Linked DNA regions of Mus musculus. The protein of the gene in region 1 binds, or shares a complex with, the protein of each later gene. Links are inferred from orthologs where the notes say so. Each region holds a gene or a part of one and is shown on either strand. Other genes may lie near its edges. The genes, in order: Nup214, Nup160, Nup153, Cetn2, Cetn3, Nup107 and Nup205.

Evidence for each region.
Region 2: Nup214 (region 1) and Nup160 share a complex: the UniProt entries of both Homo sapiens proteins name them as parts of the nuclear pore complex. The link is inferred for Mus musculus from reciprocal best matches to the Homo sapiens genes NUP214 and NUP160.
Region 3: Nup214 (region 1) and Nup153 share a complex: the UniProt entries of both Homo sapiens proteins name them as parts of the nuclear pore complex. The link is inferred for Mus musculus from reciprocal best matches to the Homo sapiens genes NUP214 and NUP153.
Region 4: Nup214 (region 1) and Cetn2 share a complex: the UniProt entries of both Homo sapiens proteins name them as parts of the nuclear pore complex. The link is inferred for Mus musculus from reciprocal best matches to the Homo sapiens genes NUP214 and CETN2.
Region 5: Nup214 (region 1) and Cetn3 share a complex: the UniProt entries of both Homo sapiens proteins name them as parts of the nuclear pore complex. The link is inferred for Mus musculus from reciprocal best matches to the Homo sapiens genes NUP214 and CETN3.
Region 6: Nup214 (region 1) and Nup107 share a complex: the UniProt entries of both Homo sapiens proteins name them as parts of the nuclear pore complex. The link is inferred for Mus musculus from reciprocal best matches to the Homo sapiens genes NUP214 and NUP107.
Region 7: Nup214 (region 1) and Nup205 share a complex: the UniProt entries of both Homo sapiens proteins name them as parts of the nuclear pore complex. The link is inferred for Mus musculus from reciprocal best matches to the Homo sapiens genes NUP214 and NUP205.

The regions. Positions count from the first base shown.
Region 1 is NC_000068.7:31,973,246-31,977,444, reverse strand, and holds the start of Nup214 (nuclear pore complex protein Nup214), read right to left. Parts: upstream 2,996-4,199; 5' UTR 2,882-2,995; coding exon 2,837-2,881; intron 946-2,836; coding exon 750-945; intron 1-749. UniProt on the Homo sapiens protein: Part of the nuclear pore complex. Has a critical role in nucleocytoplasmic transport.
Region 2 is NC_000068.7:90,729,102-90,732,811, forward strand, and holds part of Nup160 (nuclear pore complex protein Nup160), read left to right. Parts: intron 1-577; coding exon 578-719; intron 720-3,159; exon of another isoform or gene 3,160-3,679; coding exon 3,680-3,710. UniProt on the Homo sapiens protein: Functions as a component of the nuclear pore complex (NPC). Involved in poly(A)+ RNA transport.
Region 3 is NC_000079.6:46,724,976-46,729,304, reverse strand, and holds the start of Nup153 (nuclear pore complex protein Nup153), read left to right. Parts: upstream 1-1,455; 5' UTR 1,456-1,831; coding exon 1,832-1,945; intron 1,946-3,790; exon of another isoform or gene 3,791-4,329. UniProt on the Homo sapiens protein: Component of the nuclear pore complex (NPC), a complex required for the trafficking across the nuclear envelope. Functions as a scaffolding element in the nuclear phase of the NPC essential for normal nucleocytoplasmic transport of proteins and mRNAs.
Region 4 is NC_000086.7:72,915,491-72,919,768, reverse strand, and holds the start of Cetn2 (centrin-2), read left to right. Parts: upstream 1-1,424; 5' UTR 1,425-1,452; coding exon 1,453-1,455; intron 1,456-2,922; coding exon 2,923-3,081; intron 3,082-3,375; coding exon 3,376-3,504; intron 3,505-4,278. UniProt on the Homo sapiens protein: Plays a fundamental role in microtubule organizing center structure and function. Required for centriole duplication and correct spindle formation. Has a role in regulating cytokinesis and genome stability via cooperation with CALM1 and CCP110.
Region 5 is NC_000079.6:81,781,610-81,786,119, forward strand, and holds the start of Cetn3 (centrin-3), read left to right. Parts: upstream 1-1,637; 5' UTR 1,638-1,731; coding exon 1,732-1,748; intron 1,749-3,031; coding exon 3,032-3,167; intron 3,168-4,510. UniProt on the Homo sapiens protein: Plays a fundamental role in microtubule-organizing center structure and function. As a component of the TREX-2 complex, involved in the export of mRNAs to the cytoplasm through the nuclear pores.
Region 6 is NC_000076.6:117,789,868-117,794,173, reverse strand, and holds the start of Nup107 (nuclear pore complex protein Nup107), read left to right. Parts: upstream 1-1,468; 5' UTR 1,469-1,562; coding exon 1,563-1,570; intron 1,571-3,615; coding exon 3,616-3,707; intron 3,708-4,113; coding exon 4,114-4,200; intron 4,201-4,306. UniProt on the Homo sapiens protein: Plays a role in the nuclear pore complex (NPC) assembly and/or maintenance. Required for the assembly of peripheral proteins into the NPC. May anchor NUP62 to the NPC. Involved in nephrogenesis.
Region 7 is NC_000072.6:35,190,968-35,194,677, forward strand, and holds part of Nup205 (nuclear pore complex protein Nup205), read left to right. Parts: intron 1-906; coding exon 907-1,071; intron 1,072-3,437; coding exon 3,438-3,613; intron 3,614-3,710. UniProt on the Homo sapiens protein: Plays a role in the nuclear pore complex (NPC) assembly and/or maintenance. May anchor NUP62 and other nucleoporins, but not NUP153 and TPR, to the NPC.

The DNA.
Region 1 (4,199 bases):
AAACACTTACACTCAATGTCAGCTGACAACAATGAAACACTTGGGAGAGTCCCTAATCCCAGAGTCCTGACTGGTGAAAACTGTAACTGTAACTTGTCCCAGTTGCTTACATTTTTTTATGCTTATAAACCCTGCTGATTCAGTCCCCAATCAGAGCTGCCAGAAGGAACAAGACTCCTGGAGTTCTTGTCTGGCAGTCTTGATCATCAGCAACTCTGCTTATGTGTATTAACATAGAAGATTTTGCTGTCTCACCAGCCCACTGGTGCACTCTCCCCACTTCCTCCTGATGCACGATGGATACAGAGTAACAATACCTTGGATATCTAGTTACAGGAACTAAGCTTAACTCTCCTGTACATAGGTAATGCTGCTTTAAATATCCCAAGACTCTTGCTATGGCCCTTGCTGAAAACACTTCTGCTCAATGCTGCAGACACACGTTTCCGTCTGCAGGGTGATACAGCCATGCCTTCTTCTGGATGGCTTCCCAGAGCCCACGTTCAACTGAGCACAACAGTAAGGTCTTCTTCCCTCTCATCTTAGAGAAGTGGCTCACAGAAACAATAGCAGAGAGCTGAAAAGAAAACTCAGAAAGGCCTTTGGCACCCTAAGTGGAAGCTCCCTGCAAGGCCAAAAGAAATCACAATTTTGACATCAGAATCGTGTCTTAGTAAGGAAATACACTGACTAGTATGCTACTGCAGCCCTGGCTCTGCTGCACACTATAAATCAAAGAACGTGCTTACCAATTTTATTGGGATCATCTCCAGGTTTATTTTGGATAAGAAGGCTTTTAGTAGGAAAAACATTCAAGCCATTGGTGCCACCAGCGAAGAGCATACCATACTTATTGGATATGGTAAGCACACTCGAGCGCTCCTTGGGCAACTCTTCAGGAGAGTCAAAGATCCTCACTTTCTTCAGTGCTCTAAACTGAAAGTCCTGTTTTAGAATAGGAAACAAGATCAAGGAAGAAATTAAATCATGTCTATTATCATAGTCCATAAATGCAATTTCAGGATAACAAAAATATACTTATTACCTTGAGGCCACCAATTTTGTTTTTAGACTCTGTATTTGGTGGTGCTTGGTATAATACTCATTAACATTTGCTGAATGAAATAAATAGAGAGGGCTGGAGAGAGGAAGCAATGGTTAAGAACACTGGCTGCTCTTTCAGGGGATCTAGGTTCAATTCCCAGAACCCACATAGCAGCTCACAACTGTCTGTAACTCCAGTTCCTGGGGATCTAATACCCTCAAAAAGTGTTAATCTGTAATCACTTTGTTAAGCTCTATCTGTATCCTCCACCACACCTCCTAACTCTCCAGCTAGGGATTTTAGTGAAAAGAATATGACAGCTACAAGAGAAAATGTATTTCTACAGAACCTTATGAAATGCTTCATAAAGGGTGTCTAGCACACCCACACATACTAATTTTCTTGCAGTCCATGTTTAATACATATTTACTGGAAGATTTTTATGAGCATTGGTGTTCTGCCTGCATGTGTCTGTGTGAGAATTAGAGCTACAGACAATTGTGTGCTGCCCTGTAGGTGTTGGGAATTGGACTCAGGAGCTCTGGAAGAGCAGTACTCTTAATCCCAGTTGAATACGGTGGGTAAAAGTTCACACAAATTTCCCCATGAGGCCACACTGGCCATTCATAAAGAAACAAATCATCTATCTTTTTTGATATTATCATCCTAATAGTCATGACTGTACCACTGGGGCTTGGTGGCTTTTTTTGTGGTGGGCCAGTGTGATGAAGCAACACAAAAGAAACAAAACAAAACAAAACAAAACAAACACAACAGACAAACCCAAAACCCAAACCTCTCCTTTCTGCTTTTGGCAGGAATTAAAATACTGCTATTAGCCCTGTGGTTCTAAATTCTCTACCCGAACATATCTGAGGAACATGAAGCTTGCCCATTACCGGGCTCAGCACATGTGCTGACTCAAGGAAGAGCCACTGTTTCTAAGCATGATATGGAGCACTCGACCCATGTGCATTTTAGCGACTCACCGGTCACACAAATGGCTAACACCTTCCTGCAACTCACTCATTTCCAACTGTCTACGGTCCCCTGCCTTTCCATTCTGTCAGAGTATATAAGCCAACTATTAACACAGTATCCAGAAGTTGTAGCATGGGGATCACTTAGGGTTCGCTTGCTTTTCCTTTAGTCTCATGAGTTCAAGCTGATTTCCAGTGCCAAACTTGACTTCCTGTTCCTACTAACTAGGGGTTTTGAAGGCAGATAGTGTTTCTTGGCTCCACTTTAGGTAGTTTGGACCACCCTCAAGTATAGAGAGCTAATAAGAACTGAGCGTCTAAGCCAACTGTGGTAATGCACACCAATAATCCCACCACTTGGGAGGTGGAGGCAGAGACAAGAGCCCAAGACCAGAAGCCACCTTGAGCTACAAGAGACCATGCCTAAATCGTAAGAGAGATGTAAGGCTTTTGCCACGTGACTTTGGATCATTTGCTTTCAAGGCTTCAATGCGCTCCTCTTTCTAAGCTGGTCGTAAGGGCTGCAGCGACGGTGGCGACAGTACGTCTCACTCAATAAACAAGAATCGCTGTCACCAGTAAGGCGACCAGCCCATCAGAGTACCTGGGGTAACTCAGAAGGCGTGGACAAACCCACGCAAGGACAGGTACCTGCACTTGCAGGGAACTCAGGCCCGCGACACGCAGAGCTGCGGACGCTCTGTGGGGCGAGCGATCGCGACCCTGCGAACTGCAGGAGCAGCCGGCAGAGGCGAGGCTCCAAGGCAACTCCAGGACTACGCAGGCGGGGAGGCCCCGGCCAGGCTCTAACCTTCATCTCCCGCTCAGGGATCATGGCATCCATCTCGTCTCCCATCGTGCCGCCTTCAGGGTGTTCAAGTAGCTGCTGCTGGCGCTGCCGCTGCCACCCGCGGCCTTTCAAACACAGCTCAGGCCGCTCAGGCCTCAACTTCCTTCCCTCAGCGCCCGCGGCGCGTGGTAGATGCGCGTTTCCGGCGCGCGTGACTGACGTCACCCAGGCCGGTTTTTAGTGTGCTCGGAGGCAGTCGAGGGCTGCTCGGAAGTCGCGCGCTTGCCAATCCACAAGGCCCCATTGGCCGGTTCCGCGCAGTGGGTGTGGCCATGAGGCGCGGGCCGGAGTCCGCCTTCCTTTGGATGCTGCGTGCGCAGCCTCGCTATTTAATTTTCTTCCTTAGAGAGAGGCACGCTCGGCCTTCCTGAGACTCTCGATGCTTCCCGGTAGCACTTACCTGCAGGGCTCTTAGAAGCTTCCGACTTAGAGAAGTTAGGAACTTTTTTGCTGGGAAGAGCGGACAGAGAGGTTCGGTTAGCGGGTGGACTGCACTGTGTGCCGGTGCAGAACCCTTTTAAAAACGGAGAGGAAAAGGGACAAAAGATCGGTTTTGTTTACTGTTTTCAAGGCAATCGTTTCAGATCATAAGCCATATCCACTTCACATCGCAAATGGTGCGCGGCTATCATCTCAGCTTTTGGGGATTAGAGGGTCAGGAATTCAAGGTCTTCCTAGGCTACATAGCAATCTCTAGATATCCTGAGTTACATGGGACCCTGTCTGGAAAAAAATATGTAATAAGAGAATTCCACACAAAGCAGTTAAATTATCCAATAGCTTTCAGCCAGGAAGGGTTAAGATTCAGATCTGCGTATACTGACTGATGTTGAAGACATTTCTGGAGTAGAATTATAAAAGAGGTTCCTAACTTGGAGCTGGTGGGTCAGCTCCAGAGGGCACATTCTGTCAGATGCAGTCTCTCAACAAGTTGCATGTGTGCAAGCCTCTATTCATTGTAAAATGCTAACAGTAGACCTGGGTCTTGGGCTTAATCAGATGACGTCAACTGTCTGTCTGGGACATGGGAGACCCAGGACACACTCATTTACTTGGTACCTGTTGTCAGCTAGCTCTTCTGAATTTACTGAGCCCAGAGCTGTCCCCAAGAAACACAAAGACACTGATAAATTGCTCTAGTTTATTTCAGTCTGCAGGAGACCACATCCCATCCATACATACACACATGCACACAATAATGGCACTCACCCAAATCTACCTTACAAACATCTTTTGAGTCACAGGGCAAAGCCATACTTGGCAATCCCCAAACTGCTGGTTACACCAGTTACATTTGGTCTTTTTCAGAAATAAGGCAGCCGAT
Region 2 (3,710 bases), about 59 Mb from region 1:
GGAAAGAGAGTCAACTCCCGAAAGTGTTATGTAATTTCTAGATGGATACTATGCCAAATGAGCCTACACACACAAGATGCATAGATAGATAGGGGATAGATAAAAAATAAGCTTTGATATGTTTGCTAACACCTATGATCACAGCACTCTGGAGAGTCTTTTTTTTTTTTTTGTTTTTTCGAGACAGGGTTTCTCTGTATAGCGCTGGCTGTCCTGGAACTCACTATGTAGACCAGACCAGGCTAGCCTCAAACTCAGAAATCCGCCTGCCCCTGCCTCCCGAGTGCTGGGATTAAAGGTGTGCACCATCACTGCCCGGCAAAATAACTTTTTTTTTTTTTGGTTTTTTTTTTTTTTTTTTTTGGTTTTTTGAGACAGGGTCTTTCTGTACAGCGATGGCTGTCCTGGAACTCACTTTGTAGACCAGGCTAGCCTCGAACTCAGAAATCCGCCTGCCTCTGCCTACTCTGGAGAGTCTTAAGAGCAGCCTTGTCTACCCAATTCATTAACTAATTAGTTCCTAATTAACTAGTAGAATAGGAATCTGAACTCCTTTGTCCTTTTTACTTTTTCCAAGTGCTACAGATGAAGCATGGAGGCTATTGTCAACTTACTTGGAAAGATACAAAGTCCAGAATAACTTGTATCATCATTGTGTGATTAACAAGTTGTTGTCTCATGGAGTTCCTCTGCCTAATTGGCTTATAAACAGTTACAAGGTACGTGGTATTGAGGTGGGGTAATAATTTGGGAAGTGTACTGGTTTACAAGTCATTTGTGGCAGTAGTTGGGAGGCAGAGACAAAAGGATCAAAAGAACTTCAAAGCCAGCCTAAGTGAGTTCAGGGCCAGCCTAGGCTAAATGAGATACTATCAAAAGAAGTGGAAGACAAAGGAGAATTCACTGGCTTAAATGCTTTGATTCTCAATCATCTCTAATAGGATGAAACAATTTATCTTAAATTCCACATATAGTACTGGGGACTTATCATTGTATAGTGAGCTCATAATTAGAATAATGAGTATATTTCATGCAACAATATCTACTATCATTGTTTAAAAACTTAACAATAGTAGGTAAAATGTTTCCCAGATAATACAAGAGTTTATCTTTGACTGGGAGGCTTATCTATTAGTCTGTTGTCTGTCCCCATGAAGAGGTACCTGGGCAGGTTAGCTTTTTAGAGAAAGAGGGTTACTTTGCTCACAGTTTTATAAGCGAAATGTTCAAGAACACTTGGCTCATTATTCTGACCTCCAGTAAGAGCTGTCTGTGCTGCTCTATCATAGTGTGTTGCAGTGTGGTGAGACTGTACACAGCAGAATATGGTCCAGGAAGCCAGAGGGCAATTCACCCTCCACTGTCATTCATACCTGCTCACTCTCCTGAGAATTAATCTCTTCACAGTGGACAGACCCTCCTTGACCTAAACATCCCCCCACTGGGTCCCACTTCTCAAAGGTTCCTTCCTCTCCCATTGCTACTACATTGGAGGGTCAAACTTCCAACATATGATTCACATGTGGGCTATATTGAATGGTAGCTTCTTTCTTTTGTTGTTTGTTTGTTTGTTTGTTTGTTTGTTTGTTTGTTTGTTTCGAGACAGGGTTTCTCTATATAGCTCTGGCTGTCCTGAAACTCACTCTGTAGACCAGGCTGGCCTCGAACTCAGAAATCCGCCTGCCTCTGCCTCCCAAGTACTGGGATTAAAGGCATGCGCCACCACGCCCGGCTCAGTAGCTTCTTTAAAATGTCAATTCCTCGGTCTTAAGTCAGATTATCTGGGGCCAGGAACCAGAATTCCACATTTTGACAACCTTCTGTTTTTGTTGTTTTGTTTGTTTAGGGGGGAGTTGTTCTGTTTGTTGAGACAGGGTGTCACTGTAGCCCTGACTAACCTAAAACTCACTGTGAACTAGGCTGGACTTGAATTTACTATGTAAACCAGGCTGGGTTTCAACTCAGAAATCCTCCAGCCTCCATCTCCAGGTATGGGGATTAAAAGTGTGCAACACTAAGCCAAATTGTTTTAATGCTTCATGAGCAGGTATGAATGACAATGGAGGCTGAATTGCCCTCTGGCTTCCTGTCTGATGATAAGACTATATTATGCTCTGTACACTCCCACCACACTGCAATAAGCTATGATATAGCAGCACAGCTTCATGAATTTATATGTTCTTTATCATTCCAGTTTTAGTATATATGCTGCTGTGGCAAGTGCTTCTGATTGGGTTAGATGTACGCTTGATTGAAAATGATATCTGAAGCACTTTCAGTGGGATAAGGAAAGAGAATATAAAAATTATTAGTAGTAAAATTGGTTAGGCATTTGTAATTACAGAATTTGGAAGGCTGAGGAGAGGATTACTGTGAGTTGAAGGCCAGCCTGGTCTATATATAGCAAAACCCTGTATCAAACAAACAAACAAAAACGGAAAAGTTCGGTTGGTAGAGTGCCTGGCATGTGGGAAGCACTGAGCTCAAGGATGTGGTCCACATGTAGTGTCAGCCTGTGCTACATGAAACTCTGCCATAAAAGAGGAGAAGAAAATAGAGAAAAGTAGCTAAAGTGGGAGAAGTAAAACTGATTACATCAGAGCAGAGGAGGCAGCTTCACTGTAATGAAGTACAGTGGACCCAGGCATGCTGGCCTGCGCCTTTAATCCCAGCTCTCGGGAGGCAGAGGCAGATGAATCGCTTGAGTTTGAGGCCAGCCTGGTCTACACAGAGTTCCAGGACCGCCAGGGCGACACAGAAAAACCTTCTCAAAAAAAAAAAAAAAAAAGTTACAGCATTCTCCTTGTCTTACTGCTGTTTTACTGCTATGAACAGAGACCATGACCAAGGCAACTCTGATAAGGACAACATTTAGTTGGGGCTGGCTTACAGGTTCAGAGGTTCAGCCATTATCATCATGGTGGAAGCATGGCAGCATCCAGGCCTGCAATGGTGTAGGAGGAGCTGAAAGTTCTACATCTTGGCAAACAGGAGAAGACTGACTTCCAAGCAGCTTGGATGAGGGTCTTAAAGCTCATACCCACAAGTGACACAACTACTTCAACAGAGCCACACCTCCGAATAGTGCCACTCCCTGAGCCAAGCATATTCAAACCATTACACTCCTTGAGCTGCATACAGATTTAAAGCTGGTGGTACCTTGCATTTCATTATTTCTGAGAGTTAATGCATACATCCTCCACTTCAGTGCTCAGCGTTCCTGAGAAAACATGTTGACATTACTAATGTACAATTGAAGTAGGAACAAGTTAAAACATGTCTCAGATCACAAAATAGAAAAGAAAAGCCACTTAACAGACAATATTACAGTGTGCCTGGAGGTAACTGGGCTCATGGGAATTTACAGATCTTACCCTGAGGTGCTCGCTCACACTAAGAACCTTTTTAAAATTGGTTGATTGGTCTGAGGCAGGACTGTGTAGCCCTGCCTGCCTAGATGTGTACTGTATAAGTTGAAATACAATTGTATTGGAAAAGTTAATAGGAAAACCTGATTAATTTGTTGCTGTATAGAAACAATCAGCATATGTTTTGGTAATACATTTAGGTTGTTTGTGGACTTAGTTTCTTGGATAATTTCTAAAACATTCTAGAATGCAGCACTGTTAGGTTCTGTTTCCAGTTGGGGTAGACATGCTTATAATTGTTGTCTTTACAGAAGGTTGATGCTGCCGAGTTGCTTCGTCTTT
Region 3 (4,329 bases), on another chromosome or scaffold:
TGACAGATTCAAACAATCTATTTGATTTTATAGTTATAAACTTTAGAACGCTGTTCTCTAATAGAACATTAAGTCTATGATTCTCCATAATCGATTCTTTTTCCTAATCATAGTTACTTATTTCATAAAAACAAAAAACAAAAAAACCCTGGGTTATAGTCCTGGCTTTGAGTGCCCAATTAGATATCCACCCTCTTTTATTTTTTTCCAAGTCAGTTCTCTATGCAGCCCTAGCTGTCTTGGAAAACGCTTTGTAGACCAGGCTGGCCTTGAAGTCACAGAGATCCATCTACATCTGACTCCTGAGTGCTGGGATCAAAGATGTCTGTCACCAGCCAGGCTCTAAATCGATACCCTTAATGGTGCCCCTTAAATTTTCTTGGTTTCCATATAGTCCATTGAATGACTAGGCTGGACCACATGATCACACAGACCTTTTGTCTAATGCCTGCATCTTTAACACGGTGTATCCGGTCTTTGAGGATACATTGTTTAGTCACCTAACTATAATATTAACTGAAGCAAATATATGTTTACTAGGGATATATGAGTCACCCTTAATGTGTGTTGATTGCATAGGTCATAATTGCAACCATTTACTGCGTTTCTTGTATACCAGGAAATCTACTGGGTGCTCTCTACACAGACGACCGCACTAGCTCCCCACAACTTTATAAGGTAGATTTAAATAGTAGAGTCATCCAAGGTCAAGTTTGTAAGTAGTGAAGCAACTCAGAATGCCAGCACGGTGTGTGTTGACAACAAAGCCCTTATATGTTTAATGAAACAGTAATGAAGTTGTATTTTTTGCTTTCGTTGAGACAGAATCTCACTATGAAGCTGAGGGTAATGTGTAACTAGCCATTCCCCTGTGTCTGCCTCCCAAGTGCCAAATGCCTTTCCTACTTTGTTTTTGGCCTGGGGATCGCGGCCACGGTTAATTTCAACGCGGTCTCCCCCCCCCCCCCCCCGGATTGTGATGCATTATGGTTCTTTGATTTTACTGTTTACTTCCATTCGGCTTATAATTGATGAATGGGAGATTACAGTATTCGTGTCGAGTGCCCTTCTGAATCTAAACAAGCAGCCAACCGCCGCCAAATGACCCGGGCTTTGTGCCTCTGCGGTGCTCCGTGGGTGTCCTTCCGCTATAGCCTGCCTTTCCGAGAATCCGCGTTCTGGCCAGAAAAACTACATTTCCCAGAGGCTCCCACGACAGGGAGCGCGGGCTCGGCCAACCCTTCCTTCCTTCACCCATCCCCCCCCGCATTGTCGCAGCGTGATGACGCAAAGCGTCGGTCGCGGAGGAGTGACGGTGTTCTGGCTCGCGACCGGGGCGGCCGCCTCAACAGCGGTAATAGGCGCAAGAGCGGCGGCGGCGGCGACGACTGCAGGGACGACGACGGCGGCGGCGGCGGTGGGGCGGGCGCAGCGCGCACAGGGGGAGGGGTTGGCGGGCGGCGCCAGCGGCCTGGACTGCGGCAGCGACGGCCAGGGCGACTGAAGAGGAGCCTCTAGCAGCGGGCGGTCGAGCTAGGCCTCAGCGGCGCCCGGAGCTGCTCGCGCCGGCCTCGGCGGGAGATCTCCATAGAGACGGTGACAAACACAGACGCGGGGGTCCGCACGCGGCCGGCGCTCCTCAGCCACCTCGGGGCCCTCAGCCGCCGCCACCGCCTTCCTCGCCGCCGCGCGCACTCTCAGTTCCCGCTCGCTCCCTCGCGGTTCTCGCTGTGTCTGTGTGTCGCCTAGGGCCGGGCGGGGGAGGCCCTCAGGCCGCCGCCTCTGCCTCTCCCGCCCGGGAGCGGTAGTGGGAGGCCGCCCAGGCTCCGCCATGGCCTCGGAAGCCGGAGGCATAGGAGGGGGCGGCGGCGGCGGCAAGATCCGGACTCGTCGTTGCCACCAGGGGCCGGTGAAGCCTTACCAACAGGGGCGACCCCAACACCAGGTACGGGACCGGTACGCCGTGGCGACTGGGCGGCTCCGGGCGGTCTCTTTGGGGGGCGGTGCGAGGACCCGGCGGCCCCACGTGGAGGGGACCAGAGGGCCTGAGGCTGGACCCGGGTGGCGACGGGAAGTGGGTAGAGCCTGGCCGGGCCTGGCGGCAGACACGTGGGATGCGAGCGGCCTCTCCCAGCCCTCCCGCCCAAGGGCTTTCCCTGGCGGGCACAGGGCGGGAAAAGAAATCTCAGGCTTCGGATATTCGGGCTGCTGCTGCTGCTGCTGCTTCTTCTTTTTTTTTTTTTTTTTTGGCGGGTTTTTGGGGGTTAAATGGTATTCCTCACGACCTCACGAAGGGAACAAGGGAAAGATGTGGCAACAGGCCCATCCGCTGGCAGGCTTTTTCTTTCTTGTGTTCCCGGGTTCAGGGTGCGCGGGGAGATTAATCTGCCACCGCGGCCCGGAGAGACTTGGGGAGGGGGCGCTGTTACCCATATCGTGGAATAATTTCGGTTTTAGACGCGTTAAATCATTAATGGTAGTCCGGTCCCCTCGTCTGTCTGCTTGGCCTTTCCAGATCGGAACACACTGGTTTAGCTTCTCATCCTTTCCTCTCTTAACTGAGTTATAGTTATGTGGCACTGAGGCGTTTTGAAAGTCCCTCGCCGCTCTTACGTCTGGTCTCTGATGCGTGGTTCTTCCCTCTCTTCTCTCCACCCCGCTCTATATACTGAAGACCAGAATCATCCACTCTCTACAGTTGACCAGTTCTTCAGCTCTGATCTCATACACCAAATATTTTTAATACTGGGCGTTTTCTAGAAGTTTAAGGTATTTCGGGCTCACCAGGGGTGTTACTTAAGCCACCGTATGCCTTCTTTGGGTGTTTATAAAAATGTCGATTCTTGTTGTAAACGAGATAGTTGGTTCAGAGAACACTTTCAGTTATTAAAAATTGTGAGAATTAAAACGTTAAAAACTCACTTTAACGAAGCCACTTTTTAAAAGTAGGAAGTGTATATTTTAAGCTTACTGAAGAAGGGCTAATATATAACTTGTTGCATACTCTTAAATGTAGACTTTTTGTTTATTCTGGCTAGTGCTAAAATTGAATACTTGTTGGTAATGTTAAATTATATCACTTTTGAGATTTTTAAAATAAAGATAGGGAAAGTTTTGAATAGAAACAGCTGTGTTTTATGTACTAAGAAGTTATTTGTCATTGCTTGGAAGCCTTGCAATATTACCATTTTCCCTGAATGCTGAGGAGCCCGGGGTCTTCAGAAGCAGACTTTAAGATTAAAATCAGGTCACAAGCCTGGCCGTTTTACTTTGCCTAATACTGTACAATGGACATTAAGGCAAACATACTCTTATACTAAGAGTAATGAACCACCTCTGATTGCTTGAAAACAGTTTGAGCAAAGAAATGGATGGCTTGGATAGAGTTTAAAAAGAAGCCAATATTATGTATGATATTATGATAGAATTTAGAAAGAAGCCAAAGTTATGATCACAGCTTATTTTAAAATGTATTTAGGTTAAAAAAAAAAACCAAACTAATTTGAGAGAGAAGTGCATTCAACTAAAACCAAACATGTTTTAGAGCTGGTACAGATTTCAAGCTGTATGGTTTTAGAGCTCAGTAGTTCTAAGACATGTTAGCTTCTTGCCTCAGTCATTTAATTTAAAATGTAAGTACATCTTAATTTGAACTGGAATTAAAGATAACTCTTTTTTGGTTAGCAGATTTAATTTTGGCAGAATTGACCAAAGAAAAAAGTGTTTAGGCTTATATAAAAGTATGCAGCTCAGCTTTTGTTTCTGTCTTAAAGTAAGTAACTAGTCTTACCTCGGACTTAGTGGATGTCATTGTCCTCTACTAGCCGAGCTTGTCAACTGGTTGTTTTGCAGCAACTGCTGAGTCATCATCTTGGATATATCAAGGAGTTTCATGACATGGCATGTTTCATACTAATGCTTGATAAGTGTCCATGGCCTCTTGGCAGACTGAAGAGTTGTGTTAGACTCAGAGTAAGCAGGCTGGTGCTTATTGGTGAATGCAGGACAGCAAATGTCAGGCCAAGGAGCTAGCTACTGCAGTCACCCAGTACCTGTGACTCCTGTATCATGTTCAGTTGATTTCTGATTTCCTGTTTTGACTTCTGGTTTAGGTCTTCTGGGAAATGTTTAAACTTTAGCATTTTTCTACTTTTAACTTTCTTCCTTTTTCTTTTTCTTTTTTTTTTTAAAGCCACCTTGCTTGAAGTTGTGGAGCTAGAAAGATATTGTCTTGATCAACCAGATAAAGGTCAAACAGTTACAAGTAGACATAGTTGGGCAAAGAGGTACATACCTGAAATCACAGCTGCTAAGGGGCTGAGAGGCCAG
Region 4 (4,278 bases), on another chromosome or scaffold:
GTGAGACCCTATCTCAAAACAAAAAAATTATATCTACCTGTGAAATTTTCTCAAAGAATTAATCAAAATACTAAAAAATTTTAAAAAGTTCATGGGACTGGGTAAGGTCAGTGAAGGAATGTATCAGCCGCAAAAATAGTGCCCTGGGTGAGAGTGAGCCAGAGGGGGAACAGTGTGGGTGTGATGGGAGAAGGAGGAATTTCATGGCAGGCTTTGCAGATTATGGTGAGAACTCCAGCTCATACTGCTGAGGAAGGGCTGAGGAGGAACAGAGAAAACAGAGGACAATTCAAGGACGGAACTGTGAGAACTCAGAGGCTGGATATGGGGGATTGTTGCTGCAGTGAACAAAGGAGCCAAACAAGACACAAAAGTTTTGAAGCCGGTTCCTGGCTTAAAGGAAAGAGGGCAAAGGGCCTATATTACATTTATGGGGAGCTGTTAAGTCTCAGGCCTTTCTCAGTTTGAGAGACTGATACTGTGCCCTTAAAGTCCCTAAACTGATTTTCTTTGCTTTGAGGGACGTAGAACATAGAATCTGTGTTCGACCCTGGGCCTTCATTACTCCTGGCACAGCTCCAGGTAGCCCCAACCCGTTGTGCACTTTGCCCTTTAATTCTCTTTACATTCCATACTTCCAAAACTCCTGTGGCTTTGCTTTCAAGGGAGTCTCATTCAGGAATGCTCCTTCCCATGTGACTTGAGTGTCTGTACGTCTAACAGGACACATTTTGATGAGTTTTGAAGATCTAAAAGTCCCCAGCCCATTCCCCTGAGAGCTAAAGTGACTCTTGTAGAGCTAATGTAAAGACAAAGCCTCATGTGGATTGGGTTTCTAAGCCCCAGCCCTGTGAACCACTGACACAATACTCAGCATGCCCACTCCAGTTTCGAGGTCTCAGCTTCTCCTGGCACAGTCACCCCTCCAAACCATTTGGTCATATCTTGCTGGCCCCTCAGATGTTCTGTGTCCCCCAACTCGGTTTTAAAATGGGTCCCACCCATTCCCTCCTACTTCCTCCAGGCTCTGTCACCCACACGCAGCAGCCTCTAAGGGCAAGCCCGCAACTCTTACCCGGTTTAGACACTCAAATGATCGACCTCAGCTTGCAGACAACCGGCAACCAGAGAAGTCTGGCTGAACACCCGCCACCCTTTTCTACTGATAGATATGAGCCCACAATCAGCAGAGCTTCCTTCATAATGTTGATTGGTCTAGCTTGGCTCTGGCGCAACCAATTGACGCTCACAGCATGATTTTGCCCAATGAGGCTAGTCTTTGGCTGCCGACGCACCGCCCTCTTGCTCTTGGGCGAGTTTTGCCAGGTTAGCCCCACCTCTTCGTTCCCAAACCAATGGGAAGCGGGCTGTGCGCGCGTGGAGCAGTGGGAACGCCGCTGAGGCTGCGAGTACGCCGTTGCCTTAACAACCGGTGGCAGAGTCCGTTGGGTGATGGTAAGTGCTAGGGATTCGGTGGACCCCACGCGGCGTCCCCGGTCCTTTCCTAGGCCTCGGTGCAGCCTTGCTACCTTTCTTGCACGGTTCTTGGCGTTGACGCACTAGTTCTTCCTTGGAGCTGTGTGCCGGAAGGGTAGAAGAGAAAGTACAGCCGCCAGCAGCTTGCCTTGCCTGCTCTTTCCCACTACCCCCTCCTCGCCCAAGTCACCTTCAGCCACCCCCGCACAAACTGCCTCTGGACCTCCGCTGGCTTTCAGGAAACAGCAGGGTGACCATTCTATTGCTTCCCTTAGACTTCCGCCTCAGTCAAACTCAGGCCTCCTGGCCGCGGCCACCCAGTTAAAGTTTATGCATTGGTGCTAAGAGGTTTACTGTGTTCTGATGGTCGCAAACGCTTTCAGGAGAGGCTGTGAGAAAGCACGCAGGTGCAAATGGTTTGATTTTTATCACTTTGTACCGGCATAATTTTTATCTTAGTAAGTTTACATTTAGCCAAATTTAGGCATAAGTAATTGGAGGAGCAGAGTTCTTGGGAACTGGCACCACAAGTAGATGTTTTAAGTACATTTCTAAAACCGAGAGTACGGAAATCATATACAGTTGATCATCCATAACTGTAATTGGTTTCTCAAAGAGCTTTTGATGATGCTTTTTTAGATTTAAAAATGACTGAAATTGAATCTCCTAAAGTGACACATGGATTAATGGTACAATTGCATGAACTTTCTGTAGTATAAACTTTAAGACAGTGGAGGTCAGAGTTATGTCTTCTCATGAAGGCTATGTTAACACTAGAAATTCATATTCATATATTCACTTGCTCTATGTTGATCTATACAAGAACAAGGAGGAAAATGGTAATATACTATTTTAAAACAAAAACTCTCTTCTATTTGGTGGCTCCCCAATGAAATATAGTTGAATTTAGTCATATGAGACATCACATTAAGACAAATTTACAGTTATATTAGAAAATAACCTCATTATTGCCAATTTCTTTTTTTATAACTTAGTAAAAACTGACATATATAAATTGAAATAGTTTTAAGTTGAGAGAAAGTTTTTTCTTCACAGAGGTTTGTGCTATTTGTCATTTAGAGTTGGGGTTAATTTTATTTTAGTTTTTACACTTATTATTCCTTGGTGGAGAAGCACATTTTAGCCTGAGTGTGGCGGTCAGAGAATAATTTGGAAGAGTTAGTTCTCTCCTTTTACCATGTAAGCATCGTTTCCCTTTTCATCTTTGACAACGACAACTGAAGCCTGGGTCCTGGTTCCCACTTAGGTTATCAAGCTTGGCAGCAAGAATTCTCACTGGCCCATGGAAGTTTACGTAATGACATAAGTACATTACAAACGATGGCACACCTCATTGAAAAAGATATGTATGTTTAGAGCTGTCATAAATAAAACAAGGACTATGGCTTGTAATAATGTGCTTCTGTGTTTATATATTGTGTGAAGGCCTCTAATTTTAAGAAGACAACCATGGCATCCAGTGCCCAGAGAAAAAGGATGAGTCCTAAGCCTGAACTTACTGAAGACCAGAAACAGGAAATCCGGGAAGCTTTTGATCTCTTTGATGCTGATGGAACTGGAACTATAGACATCAAAGAACTGAAGGTAAGCTGCACACATCCTTTTCTTTGTTACCTTGTGTTTCCTTATTGCTTGTCTTTTAGCTGTTACCGTTCTTCTCCTTTCTGCCTGCAAAAAGTAACAGACAAGGGTACCCTGTGTATATTTTACCTGAAACAATGGTCTAATTGATAAAGTTGATTGCAAATATCAATTAAATCAGCCTTAAGTGTTCCCTGATCATTTCCATCATTTTATCAGGTGTTTGGTTAATATCTTCAATAGTCATTTTTGTTTTTACGTTATGTATCTATTTAGATGATTCTGTTTTCATTGTAGGTGGCAATGAGGGCCCTGGGCTTTGAGCCCAAGAAAGAAGAAATTAAGAAAATGATAAGTGAAATTGATAAAGAAGGAACAGGAAAAATGAACTTCAGTGACTTTTTGACAGTGATGACTCAGAAAATGGTAAGTTAGTTAAGATAATTAGCATGCTTTCTACCCATAATGGTAGAAACATGAGAATCTAGACATACAAAGAGCTTTATCCAACAAAATCTATCCCTTCCACATGGGAGAAGATAGTATTTTTAATTGAGAGGATCTCTACGTTTCATTTGGCTTTCTTTAAGGTATTAGCATTATCTTGTTTCATGTGGCCACATGATAATCACAAGCAGTAAAAACTTTTAACACCGAGATTTTCAATGCTAGTCATTTTTGGTTTTAATTTATTATTATTAAAAATTAAATTATCATACAATAAATCAGGTGTCAATCTGACATTTTCAGACAAATGGTTCACACTTAAGATTGGTTCCTAGATTATTCTTCCACCTGAACCTCCTGGCAAGAACCTTCCTGAAATAGCTGAGGTTTGAACGCTTTCAGAAATTCTGCTCTTCTGCATTACAAGGACTCAGGGCCCTGGTAATTCTTTGAAGGCCATTGTGAAAAATACCTCTCTCCTCCTCTGCCTTTATCAGTCTATCTGTTTTAGCAATGTATTTTCCCTGACTACAACCCTACTCACTGCTTCTATATTTTAAAAATGAATCTAGTGTCTGCTTGTTTTGTACAGTACTTTATATACAATTATATTTCCTATGTAACCCCTGAGTTTATATTCACTTTACTAAGTATGTTTTCTTTTTTTTTTTTTTTTTTACAATGTACCATACTTGTTTGCCTGTGACCAAGGACATATATCATGACAGCTATCACCAGGACCTTATGATAATG
Region 5 (4,510 bases), on another chromosome or scaffold:
CAAGAAAATTCTTCATATTAAATGAGAATATTTTACCAGCTTTTTAATTCTATCAAAGTTCCATTAAAAAAAATCTCATTATATTATTTCTCAGTAATTTATTCCTTCTAGTTTAGTTTATTTTGTCCTTTGTTTCAAACATCTCCATGTAAATGGTTTATTTTCACCTTTATTTAATACTTTTCTTCTTAGGCTTGGTTTTACAATCTTAAAATTTTAGTAGTTTTTTTTTTCACTAGTGTTCTTTAGTATACATATGACGTAATCTAATTTCCTTTTTTTGTTTGTTTGTTTGTTTTTTCGAGACAAGGTTTCTCTGTGTAGCCCTGGCTGCCCTGGAACTCACTCTGTAGACCAGGCTGGCCTCGAACTCAGAAATTCACCTGCCTCTGCCTCCCAAGTGCTGAGATTAAAGGCGTGAGCCACCACTGCTTGGCCTAATTTCCTTTTAAACTTGTTAGTAAAAGTACTTAATTTTTATATTTTAGGCAGGGTCTACTACTAGTCCTGGCTGGCCTGCAATTCACAATGTAAAGAATTCAAAGATCTGCTTACATGTCTCTTGGGTGCTGGGATTAAACATGTGTAGCACCATGCCCAGTTGAGTTCTTCAACATTTTTCTACTTTGGTTTTGGGAGTGCTATCATTTAGCTATTACTTTTTAGCTTTATCCCAATCCTTTACTTGTCCAAATTCCTATCTACACTCTAGCTTAACTCATGCATAGCCAATTACACAGCGTCCTTCGTTCACATATAAGCTTACATACAGTATTTGCCGTTTCTAATTCCTAGCCCCAGTTTATTGTATTTATACCGATAAGCACTGCAGGTTAGCTCAGTAGTTTCCAAGTTTTCCACAATAATACCTCATTTTATGCATCAAATATTTATGGAGCACCTAAGTTCCAGATATTTTGTTTGGTACAAATACTCGTGTAAACAGAACCCTGGCCTTGAAGACAGTCAGTCTCGCTCGCAGTCTGATGATCTAAGTAAACTTTAAGAGGCTTGGTGGGCAGTGAAGATAAGACGCACATAAACACTTTATAGCACTAGAAAATGAGAAGCAGAAGCAAGCACACATTTCCAATCGCACAGAAGAAAAGGGTGGTTTGGCTAGTCTCATTGTAAATGACCTAACAAAACAGCAAAACGAGAAGCCTAATCCATAATCCAGCCTGCCTTAAAATCACTTGGGAGATGTACGGGGGAGAACGCTTAGCTTGGTCCTCACTGAACTAAGAATAAAGAATGTCGCCTTTAGATTTAAGTTTCTCAGGTGCACCGGCCACCTAAAATTGTACATCTTTTCGCAGACCTGGTTCCCCAATAAACTGCTCCCTCGTTCTGAGCAGGCTGCTTGGGCTGGCCTTTTCCCTTCCCTCGGTCGACGCCGTGCATGTCACGCGTGGGGCCTCGCCTTGCCTGCCTGAGTCTCGCGTGGTGACTCTAATACGCGCGCAAGGGAGTCGGGAAAGAACCTGGCCAATCCAGGGAGCCAGACTGACAACCAGGGCCAAAAAATGTGTACTTGATTGACATGAATGCTGACCAATGAAAAAAGAAGAGCAGCGACGCTTCCGCCCCAATAGGCCGGCTGTTGGCAATTTCAGCCAATCGCGCCCAGAAACTTGTCTGGTGGGTGGTCCCCGAGGCGTGGAGGTTGGTGGCTGTTGAGCGGTTCCCGTGGTAAAGTCCCCGAGTGGAACATCTCTGTCGGAAGAGAGAATGAGTTTAGCTCTGAGGTCGGTAACGAGGAGGCCGTGCCTCCGTCCCCCCAGAGGGCCAGGGCGGGTGTGGACGGGAGACCGGGTCGGGGGCGGGTGCCCAGCGCCGAGCACCAGACCTCGGCGGTTCCCGCCTCCGGGCACCGCCGCAGCCCGAGTGAAGTCTCGCGAGGTTTCCCTCACGCGACTGCGGGACTCAGCCCTGGTTGCCTGATTCCCCCTGGAAAGTCGCAGGAGCGCTCGCCTTTCTCCCCGGGCCCCGAGGCACGCTGTGCTCTAGGCGTCTCGGGTGGAGCTCGTTTCCGTGACACCGTCCTTTCACTTCCGTCCATCCCTCCCCTCATTGGCTCCTCACCTTGCCCATCTACAGTTAAAGGTGCCCCGGGCGGGCCGCGCCGCGCCGCCCCTTTGGCTCCGCAGGGTGACGAAGGAGGCGGGAGCTGGCGTGGGGGTGTGGCGAGTGGGGGCAGCCGGGGTCACGTGGGCCACTGGGCCGGCGTCCCTGAGCCCGACGGCGTCCAGACGTAAATAGCGCGAGCAGTTAGTTAGCCGAGTTTCAAGGGTTTGAGGTTTAAAGCTTCCATCTTTTAGAACGTGCGGATACACGTGCTGTATCCTCGTTTACACATTTGGACCGCTTTTTGCATTGGCAGCTTTTGAAGGCAGACATTTTCAGATCCAAGTGCCCTTTTTAGATTTTTCTTTAAGCTTCTCCAGAGTTTTAAGACGTTTAACCTATCGTTTACATGTTAAGTGAGAGTTAAAACACTTTTAAACATCACGTAGACTTAAGCACGACTATTAGATGCTGTGATTTTTTTTTTTTTTTTTTTTTGGTGTCTAGTATTTGAATGTTTAGACCCTTTTATATTTTGCCTGGCTAATATCAGTGGAATAAAACCACAAAGCAGTGTTACAAATGTATAATCTAAAAACATTTTGAGCTTACAGTGCAAAAGTAATCTTTTAAGTTTTATGGTTGTTTTTTTGTAGTAATTGTGAGAATTTATAAGCTGTCCAAAATCAAGTCTATTCTGGTTGATTGTTTTGTTCTTTATTTTTGGTAGATGACATTGTTTTGTTCTTTATTTTTGGTAGATGACATGAATAATATGTATGGTGTTTTCGGTGCTTTTGACTTTGTTTAGGATTTCTCTTATAAAAGTACATTTGACTACAGGACATTGATTTAGGGGCAGTTCCTTTATTTGCCAGGCTACTCTGCTTTGTTAAAATTTAGAAAATGAATCTTTGTCCTAAGATGGGTTAAAGTGGCCTAAAGACATTTTTCTGTGTCCTAGAGGTGAGCTTGTAGTAGACAAAACAAAAAGGAAAAAACGAAGAGAGCTCTCTGAAGAACAGAAGCAAGAAATTAAAGATGCTTTTGAGCTGTTTGATACCGACAAAGACCAAGCCATAGATTATCATGAATTAAAGGTAACAGGGGACTTTTAAGACCCATTTTTGTTTAACTCAATTGCATTTGTGACTGTTGCTTTAAAGTCTATTTTAGAAGCTTGTCTCGGAACTGTGAGGCTGTTTGTAGTGCCCACCCACAGGTGGTACAAGAAAACAGTACAAACAGAATATGGCTTGTAGAACCTTGTATTTAAGTGCGTAATGATGGAAAGTGTAACTTCTCCATTCACCCAGTTAAAGGGAGAGTCCTTAGCATGCTCTTCCCACTGCTGTTTTCCTCTGTGGGATGGTATATAGCTCAGCTTTTTAAAACACGATGTTTGTGGCCTATGCTTGTTGCTTGTGCAGACCTGTACATTCCATGTGTATCATGTGCAGTGTAGAGTACGGCCTTGTGTGCCTTCCAACACTGTTGCCTTGAGACAGACTGTCTCATTGAATTGGAAGTTCAGTACTTCTGAACTAGGTTGGCTAGAGAGTGAACTCTGGGGTCACTCCAATCAACACACCTCTGTCACTGGCACCTGCAGCCAGGCCTGTCTTTTTACATGAGTGCTGGGGATTTGAACTCTGGTCCTCAAGATTGCAGGGCGAGGAGCACTCTTACTCACTGAGCTATCTCTGTAGTGCAACCTAAAAAGTTTTGAGATGGAGAGATAGTTGCCTTTGCTCAGACATTTCTGAGATTGAGCTTTTAATTTTTAAAATAGTACTAACACACTCTTAGTGTGCTCGTCTCTGTTACAAAGGATATAAATTGTCTGATGCCTAATGTTGCTATGTGCTGAGGGAAAATACCCAATTTAAGGATTAAAATTACGAGTAAAGATCGAGGGGGAAATTTGTTATGAACACATTTCTTATGTTCAACCCAGTGAGAAAGATAACATTTGATATCTTAAATGTTAACTGTAGTTTTAAATTGGGCAACATTGTAGGTGATTTTTAAGCATTTCAAGTAGGGGTAGATAGAAACTGAGGTGAGAGGATAGACTATCTGAAAGTATTACAGGCCTGAAGCTGGGGCCTCAATATTGAGGCCCTCTGTTCGCTCCTTCCCCATCCCACTTGTGTCTTGCTGCCGCTCCCTCCCGTGCAGTCTGAGTCCGTCCTGTACAGTGTCTCGCCATTTGTTGGCATTGACTGTTTCGGTTTGGGACTTGGTTTCACAGCTCGAGCTTCCTCCTTTTCTATTCGTCTTTACACTACCCTTACATATCTATCTTTCTTGAATTCTTTGACCATGTTGTTAGCTCATAAGCCTTTCCTGGCTTCCTCTGCGTTTGTTGCCCTTTGATGCGGCTGTCTCCACTACCTCCACTTGTTACTGATTACTTCTGCTCAGAGCCTCCCTGCCTGGA
Region 6 (4,306 bases), on another chromosome or scaffold:
AGTAGGGCCTGAGCATGGCCCTGATTCCTGTCTGTACCTTACTCTGTGCATGGGACGGGCACAGTAAAGAAACTGCCACCGTGACTGCTCCGTTAGGGATAAGGTTTTTAATGTGGGTAAGAGAGAGAAAAGATCCAGAGGCACCTGGAAGTGCCCAGAGCGGAGAGAAAAAGAAACAGGCTGGACATGGCCAGGGCCGGGGAAGCTAGAGAATGGGAGAGAATAGTTACATCAGCAAGAGATGGGAGTCAGGACAGAACACACCCAGACACCAAATGCTCAGCACAAAGGAAATGTATTACCCAAGACGGACAAGCAGAAGGTGTTGCCTCCGTCTGGATCGGCCAAAGAAGGCAGCAGGTGTCTCTGCAGGAGAAAGGGGGAAGGCTGTGCTAGGATGAGTTGGTAAGTCCTAAGTGGACATGTTAGCCAGCTAGTGAATTTTGATAGTTGGACCTCGGAGTTTTAGTCAGGCATAAGGATGTGGCCAAATAAGGGAAGAGACCTTGGTGGCTAGGTTTAGGAATGTAATCTAACGGTTTAGCAAGGGAGAGGGGAAGGGAGAGGGCCACACCTGCTGGTGATGTGTCTGCAATGTCTGCGCCTGTTGGAGCTCTTCAAGATAGTTTTGTGTGCAAGATGAGAGAGCAGAGACTAGAAATTAGTGCAGAGTCGGGATTGTGGGGACAAGTAGCTAAGAAGACCGAAGGAAAACGCATTACAGGAGTTCCTGAGGAATGCTGGCGTTTATCTAACCGCCAGAAATCAGAAATGGTTCAGCCAGAGCTCATTTCTAGATATTTGGAGGGCCTGAGACCTAACATTTTTGAGGTACTGGAACAGGTAAGTATTCCCACGCCCAAAACTTTTAAAATTTATGATAATAACAGCAACAATAATAATTGCTATTATTACTATCGTCAGGCTTTCTTAGTGCAGGCTTGCTTCAAAATCGTGGTTCTTCCTCCTGCCTCAGCCTCCCATGTGGCTTTCTTATGCTTTGCTTTTTTTATTGGATTTCTTAAAAAACGGCTGATTCCGTAAAAGAGAAATAAATAACGAGAGAAAACAACCTCAAAACCCGTCCAGTGAGGTTACACCACAGTTCAAAGAGGTGAGCGCCCCGAGACAGGCCAGATCCCGTAAAGTGGCGCTGAACCGCAAACAAGAACGCTGAATGCAGACTCTTCAACAGATTCCTAAAGTCCAGGTTATAGACTTCCGGCTTCCCAGAACAACGCCCCACCCAGACCACGCCCACAAGCCAGGCTCAGGCGACATACCCAAGCTCCGCCCCTTTCCCCGCCCCCTTCCTGCCTGGCCGGCACCACCCAGCCACGCAGTCACTCCCTGGCACACTTCCGCGCCTGCGCCCACTGAGCCTGCGGCTGGAGACGAAAGTCGCGCATGCGCCGAGCGGGAACATTGTTTCTCTGGGACTGGCTTAGCCAGGCCGCGCTTCCGGGTCGAAGGGTGTGCTTCCGGAGAGCGGGAAGGCTGAAACGCGGCGGCCAGGCTGCAGTCAAAGAGTTGCAAGGTTCTAGGCGGAGACCGCTGAAGCCATGGACAGGTCAGTCCTGGTAGGGACGCCTCGGCCGAGACTGGGGCTCTCGCCTGTTAGCGACGTAACCGCCTCCGCGGCCAGGGATTTGGCCCTCGGTGGAGGAATGGACGCTTGGCGCGATTGGAGCGGGGATGTGAGAATGCGGATCCCCGGGGTTCCACGCCGCGCCTCCCGGGTCTTCTCGGCGCTCGCTCCGAAGTGTGCGGGGGTCTGTGATGGTCCCGCATTCGAAATGCGAAATGAAGCAGTTCGAGCTCAGGGCCATCAGCCGCACTGACAGTTCAGCCCAGACGTCCTCAGCGTGGTTTTATTGCGGTTATTAAGTCATGTCAGCTGTACGTTATTGGGTAACGGTGGTCAGCTTAGACTTTAAAGTGCCGGCCCTAGGGAGTTGAATTTCTCCCTCCCTCTCAAATGATTTATGCTCGCCTGACACGAAGATGGGTTGTTTAAGGCCCTTGGCATCGGGGAGTAGATTGTGTAGTGAAGACAGTCGAGCAGTGTAATACGATGTATTTATACTGTACTGCGGGGAAAATAAATGAAGGAGATGTTTTATCTCCCTGTCACAGGAGTTTCAGGCAAACCTATAAAAGTAACTTGCTAGCTGGTCTTTTGAGTAATAATAGCACATTATTGATACTGAAAACATTGTGCTAGGGGTTATCTTATGTGTGTTCCTTAAGCTTTAAGTGGCACATTTAGTTTTAGAGCAATCCCGTGAGGATCTTATCTATATAGAACAGTGAGCCTGTAAGAGATTTAAGGAATGGCATAGTTAAATAGAACCCTGTTATGGGGCTGGGGATATAGCTCAGTGGTAGAGTGCTTGCGTAGTAACCCTTAGGTTCTGGGGGGGGAAAGAGAAACATTACCAGCAGGGACCTTTGAATCTCCATAAAGCTGTTTGATGAATAACTTAAGTAGATAGATGAACATCCAGTGACAGGGGAACACATATAGACCTCTGTAAAAGAAACATACTCAGATATAAAGTCATGAAAAATGTTCACGCTTGTGTGGCTGAATGCTCCCAGCAATGCGGATGGACTTGATGGGCAGAACTAAATTAGGATGGTGGTGTAAATACTGTGCTGGTGAGTGTTAGCTTGAGTCTGCAGAGAAGAGGAAGCTGGCTGGAGATTTTAAGTGGAAGAAAGGTGTACTAGAAGGATAATTAAAATCAACCCCCATGGTTTAGTTTATAAGCTGTCAGATGACAGTGCTGGAGGCCCATAGCACTGTGCTAAGACAGGAGACATCCTTAGTCTACATGGAGGGAAATCACTTGAAGGGCCATTTCTCCTCTTCACTAGAATTGCTTCACTTTTTCTTTCATCCCGCCAAGCCATATCGTACTCACAGTCTGAAGTATAGTCCTGGCTGCATAGCAGTGTTTGGTCAGCATGCAGGCCAAAAATATAACAGTGGTCCCATATGATGATATTGCCTAGTGACATGATGACTGGCTTAGCTTGTATAGATATATTCTGTGAAGTTTTCATGAGGATTAAAAAAAAGAAGAATTCTCAGAGCCTGTTCCTTCTTTGTTTGGGTTTGTTTTTGAAGCTGCTTTCACCCTGTCTCAGATTGGCCTGGCACTTCCTATGTAGTACAATTTGGATTAGAGGTGTGAGCCTGGGCTAAAACCAAGCCCTTCAACAAGCAGCTAACTCATCACCGTATTTTAGAGAGTGCAGAGTCCTTCCTTGTAGAGAATTCTGTAGTCAAGCAGCTCTTTGGTCTGATGGAGGAAAAGATTTACCTTTATGAAGCCATACTGTAGTATAAATTTCGGGTTCTAAGATAACTCCGCGGAGAACATACTATTGTGATACTAGGCAGTCAAAGACAGGGCTGGTAGCCGAGCACTGGGTGGGATTTGGGGGAGTAAGCAGGACTCAGAGACAAGAGGTTATTCTTGCCAACAAGATCCAAGACTTGGCTATTGGGGTGAGCCGTCCCTCGACTGACGAAGATCCTTTCTTTGCCCTAACTGTAACGGTAGTCCTTCAAAGATGCCGTCTAAGACCTTGATTATACTGTTCTAGGAGTGGCTTCGGGGGGATGTCATCCCCTGTGATCCGGGATGCGGAGGTGACGAGGACTGCCCGGAAGCACAGTGCTCACAAAAGAGTTCTAAGTATCCTTCGTGTCAGGATTGCAGAGTGCAGGGTGCCGTGAATCAGGGCTGTGGGATTAAACATTAGCTGGGATAGAATTTGGCTTACCTCCATTGGGGTTTACATATATGTTTACATACACGGGACATACATGTTCTCAGTGAATGTCAGTGAGCTAAGATGCCTGTTTCTCTGAAAAGCATGTTGTCTCACTACTGGTATGCCATAGTAGTCAAAACTTATTATCTAGTCTCTATCTGAGAATTTAAATGACAGGTGGCTTTAACAGCTGTACAGAAAAGGTGGTGCCCATAAAACACTTTGTTCTTGAAAGAAGTGTGCTCATGTATCTGTGTAGTAAATCCTTGCTTGACTTTAATGATTTTTCTTTTCTCTACATGGAAACTTTCCTTAATTCTTCCTAAGTTCAGGCCAACCAAGAGGACAATTTTGGTACTGCTACACCAAGAAGCCAGATCATTCCTCGAACGCCAAGCTCCTTTCGACAGCCTTGTAAGATTTTGTTTGTGCTTTGGAAGTATTTAATGAAGTAGCCAGCTGGCATTTGTATAATTTTCATTATAAAATATTTAGCTACAATATCAGGAAGTAAGCATAA
Region 7 (3,710 bases), on another chromosome or scaffold:
ACATTCAAGAAGGACAATATTTTAATTTCCAAAATACAACTTTTCTTCTTTGTTTCTGTCTGTGCAATCCAGGCAAGTTTGAAACATTTTAAATGTGCAATGCAATTTAAGACTGAGGCCAAACTCTGTAATGGAGGAATTGCTTACCATACCTGAGGCCCTAAGTTTGCTTTCTAATAGCAACGACAGCAAACTCTGTCTTTGTTTTTTGTTTTGTTTTGTTTTGTTTTGTTTTGTTTTGTTTTGTTTTGTTTTGTGTTTGAGTGAGAGGTTCTCTGTTTAGCCCTAGCTGTCCTAGAACTTACTGTGTTGATCAGGCTGGCCTCGAACTTCAGGGATCTGCCCACCTCTGCTCCCCCAGTGCTGGGCTTAAGGCGTGCGCCCCCTGTGCTCAGCTTTGTTCCTGTGCAGGTGGTTTCCTGAAATGACGGTGTTACACGGTAGAAAGCAATGTGGTCACGCGTGCACGTGCCTGCCTTTGCTGCAGCTGCCTGCTTTGTTCCTTACTCACATTTGTAAAACTTGTGAAACACAGATTCTTTACTTCTCTTTGACATAGTTTTTGTGTATGAGAAGTAGGTGACTCATTTTATCTTTAGAGAGCATTTATTTATATTTTAGAATTCCTGTATAGAAAAAACAGTGAGTGCTTCTTTTTCTAATTTCTGCTGTCTATGAAACTTATTGGAAGTTGTTAACTGAAATTTAGGGTTGTTGTTTTTAGTTTTTATGCATATAATACTTTAACAGCAATACAGATATTTTGTTATATCAAATAATGATGTTAATTAGTCATCATTCCTTTTGAAAATGCTGTGTTTATGACTTTTAGATATCCATGTGTGACGGATGTGAGAATTTATTTCTGCTCTTTTTTGGTGAAGTGATGTAATTTTGTGTTTTCAGATATGATTCACCACCTTCCACTGTTGACAGAGAGACAGTACGTTTCGACAATTCACTCTCGCCTCCAGGACTCTCAGCCTTGGAAGCTTCCTGGACTGCAGGCCACTGTTAGGCTTGCCTGGGCCCTGGCGTTGAGGGGGATATCCCAGCTACCGGATGTAACAGGTAAGGAAGGAAGGTTGGAGAGAACTGGCTCTGCCACTGTACCTAGCGATGCATTGATTTTCTTCCTTTAAAAGTTTTTAGGTGACTTATTTTATGTGCGAGTGTTTTGCCTGCATATATGTCTGTATTCCACATGTGTGTCTAACATTACCTGAGATCCAAGAATTCCCTGGAGTTAGGAATGGTTTCTAGTTATCATGTGGATGTGGGGAATGGAGCCTGGGTTTTTTTGAGGAACAACATCCAGGGCTCTTAACCACTGAGCCATCTTTCCAGCTCTAAATGCGTTTGTTTTCAAATATCAAATTTTAAATCAGAAAGAGAAAGTGTAAATATGAGCACGTGAAAATACAAGTTGTTTGATAAAAATTTGTGTTAGCACTTTTCATTCCAGCACTCAGGATGTAGGCGGATCTCTATAGTTTGGGGCCAGCCTAGTCTACGTCGAGCTCCAGGCAGGCAGGGTTGCATAGAGAGACTGTCTCAAAAACAACAATAACACACCCCTCATAACTTTGTAAAGTAGAACTGAGATGCACCTTATTTGCTGTCTCAGAAGAGAACCTCAGAGGTTACCTCCTTTTGTGAATCTAGTGAGAGGTCTTTACCTTCAGTGTAGGAGTTGAGAAGAGTGAGACTCCCACAGAGTCATACCTATCCTTTTTCTTTTTTGTGGTACTGATGATTGACCTTAGAGCCTTCTAAATATGTGCTAAGGGAGGAGGGTTCTGCCACTGAGCTACGGTTCTAGTTCTTTCTTTTTTAAACAGGGTCTCATGTATCCCAGGCTGGCCCCAAACTATGTAGCTAAAGGTGCCCTGGAGCTTCTCATTCTCCTGGCTTTACCTCTAAAGTGCTGGGATTATTAAATGTGTGCCACCACTTAAATTTTTGTTTACAAACTTTTTCACATTGTATCAAACTGAAGATCTAGTTTTTTAAACTCAGTGTGTTGGAAAGGAGATGTTTGGATCAATCAAGCATAGATAGGTGTGATGCTTTGAATGAATATGCTTGGCCTAGGATGTGGCACTATTAGAAGGTGTGGCCTTATTGGAGTGGGTGTGTCCTTGTTGGAGGAAGTAGGTCACTGTGGGGGTGGGCAATGAGACCATCCTCCTAACCACGTGGGAGCAAGTATTAGCTGCCTTCAGAACAAGAGGTAGAATTTTCAGCTCCTCCAGCATCGTGCCTGGACACTACCATGCTCTCTTTGATAATGGACTGAATCTCTGAACCTGTAAGCCAGCCCCAATGAAATGTTGTCCTTTTAAGAGTTGTCGTGGTCATGGTGTCTGTTCACAGCAATGAAACCCTAGCTAAGACAATAGGGCCATTTACTTAATCCTGTTCTACACAGGGCAAGCTATTCTGTTGTCTAGATTCGTGAAATGATGCTTAGAATGGTTTGCTTTACCAGCTGTCCTTTCATTGTAATTTGAAATACAAAGGCTTTTTCACTTCTCTAGGTTTGCGTAAGATGAGGTTCAAGGGAGGAAGAGTTTATTTTGGCTCCCATGGCTTGTGGGGGTTTGTCATGGCAGATAGAGCTCAGAAGGAGTATAAGAAGTGATGGCATGAATCTGCAGTCAGGAAGCAGGAAGATAATATGGTGTTGCGCTAGTTTGCGATCTTTTTTTCCTCTTTAAATTCAGCCTAGGGCCTTAGCCTATGGTGTGAAACAATCATATTCAAGGTGAGTCTTTCCTCAAGTAAACCTCTCTAGAAGGTGGGGCTCTTAGTATTTGGGATGCAGAGGCAGGAGGATCTCTTGAGTTGAAGACCAACCTAATCTATAAAGTGAGTTCCAGGCTAGCCAGGGCTACACAGTTGAGACCCTGCCTCAATAAAACCAACCCAAACAAAGTCAAAACAATAACAAGAAAACCTTTGGAAATGTCTGTGATTAAAGCTCCTATATTGTTTTTGCATGCTATGTTTGTATAAGAGCTCTCTGTCTATATCAGTGTTAACATTGCATTGATTAGCAAGTCACTTATGGGAAGAGCCAGTGCTCTTACAATTGTTTTGCTTTGTTTGAGACAAGGTCCACTATGTAGTCCTGGCTAGCCTGCAGCTTGCTACAAAGACCAGGCTGGCCTCAAACTCAGCACTCTGCTTCCTGAGTGCTGGGGCTAAAGGCATACATCACCATATCCAGCTACATTTGTATTTCAAATGTACTCTTTTAGTAGTTCTTTGGAGTTTGTGAATCAATTACAATTATATATAATTTCATTTTGTGCATAGCACCTGTTAGGAGGCTGGAAAAATGTCTGAAATATGCTTCACTAACATTCTGTCATGAGATACAAGCTGAGTTAAAGGCTTTTCTCATTTTGCTTTTCTGTGTTCTGAATCTGTAGCCCTGGCTGAGTTCACAGAAGCAGATGAAGCAATTGCAGAGCTGGCCATTGCTGATAATGTCTTCCTGTTCCTCAGCGAGGCTGTTGTGCTGGCTGAAAACTTCTATCAGGAAGAGTTTTACATCCGCAGAATCCACAGTCTTATCACAGACTTCCTTGCATTTATGCCAATGAAAGTAAGTATGGAAGTGTAGGAAGAGCTTTGTGAAAGAGTTAAAACACAGTTTTAAGATTTATTTATTTGTTTTATGTACGAGTACACAACTGCTCTCT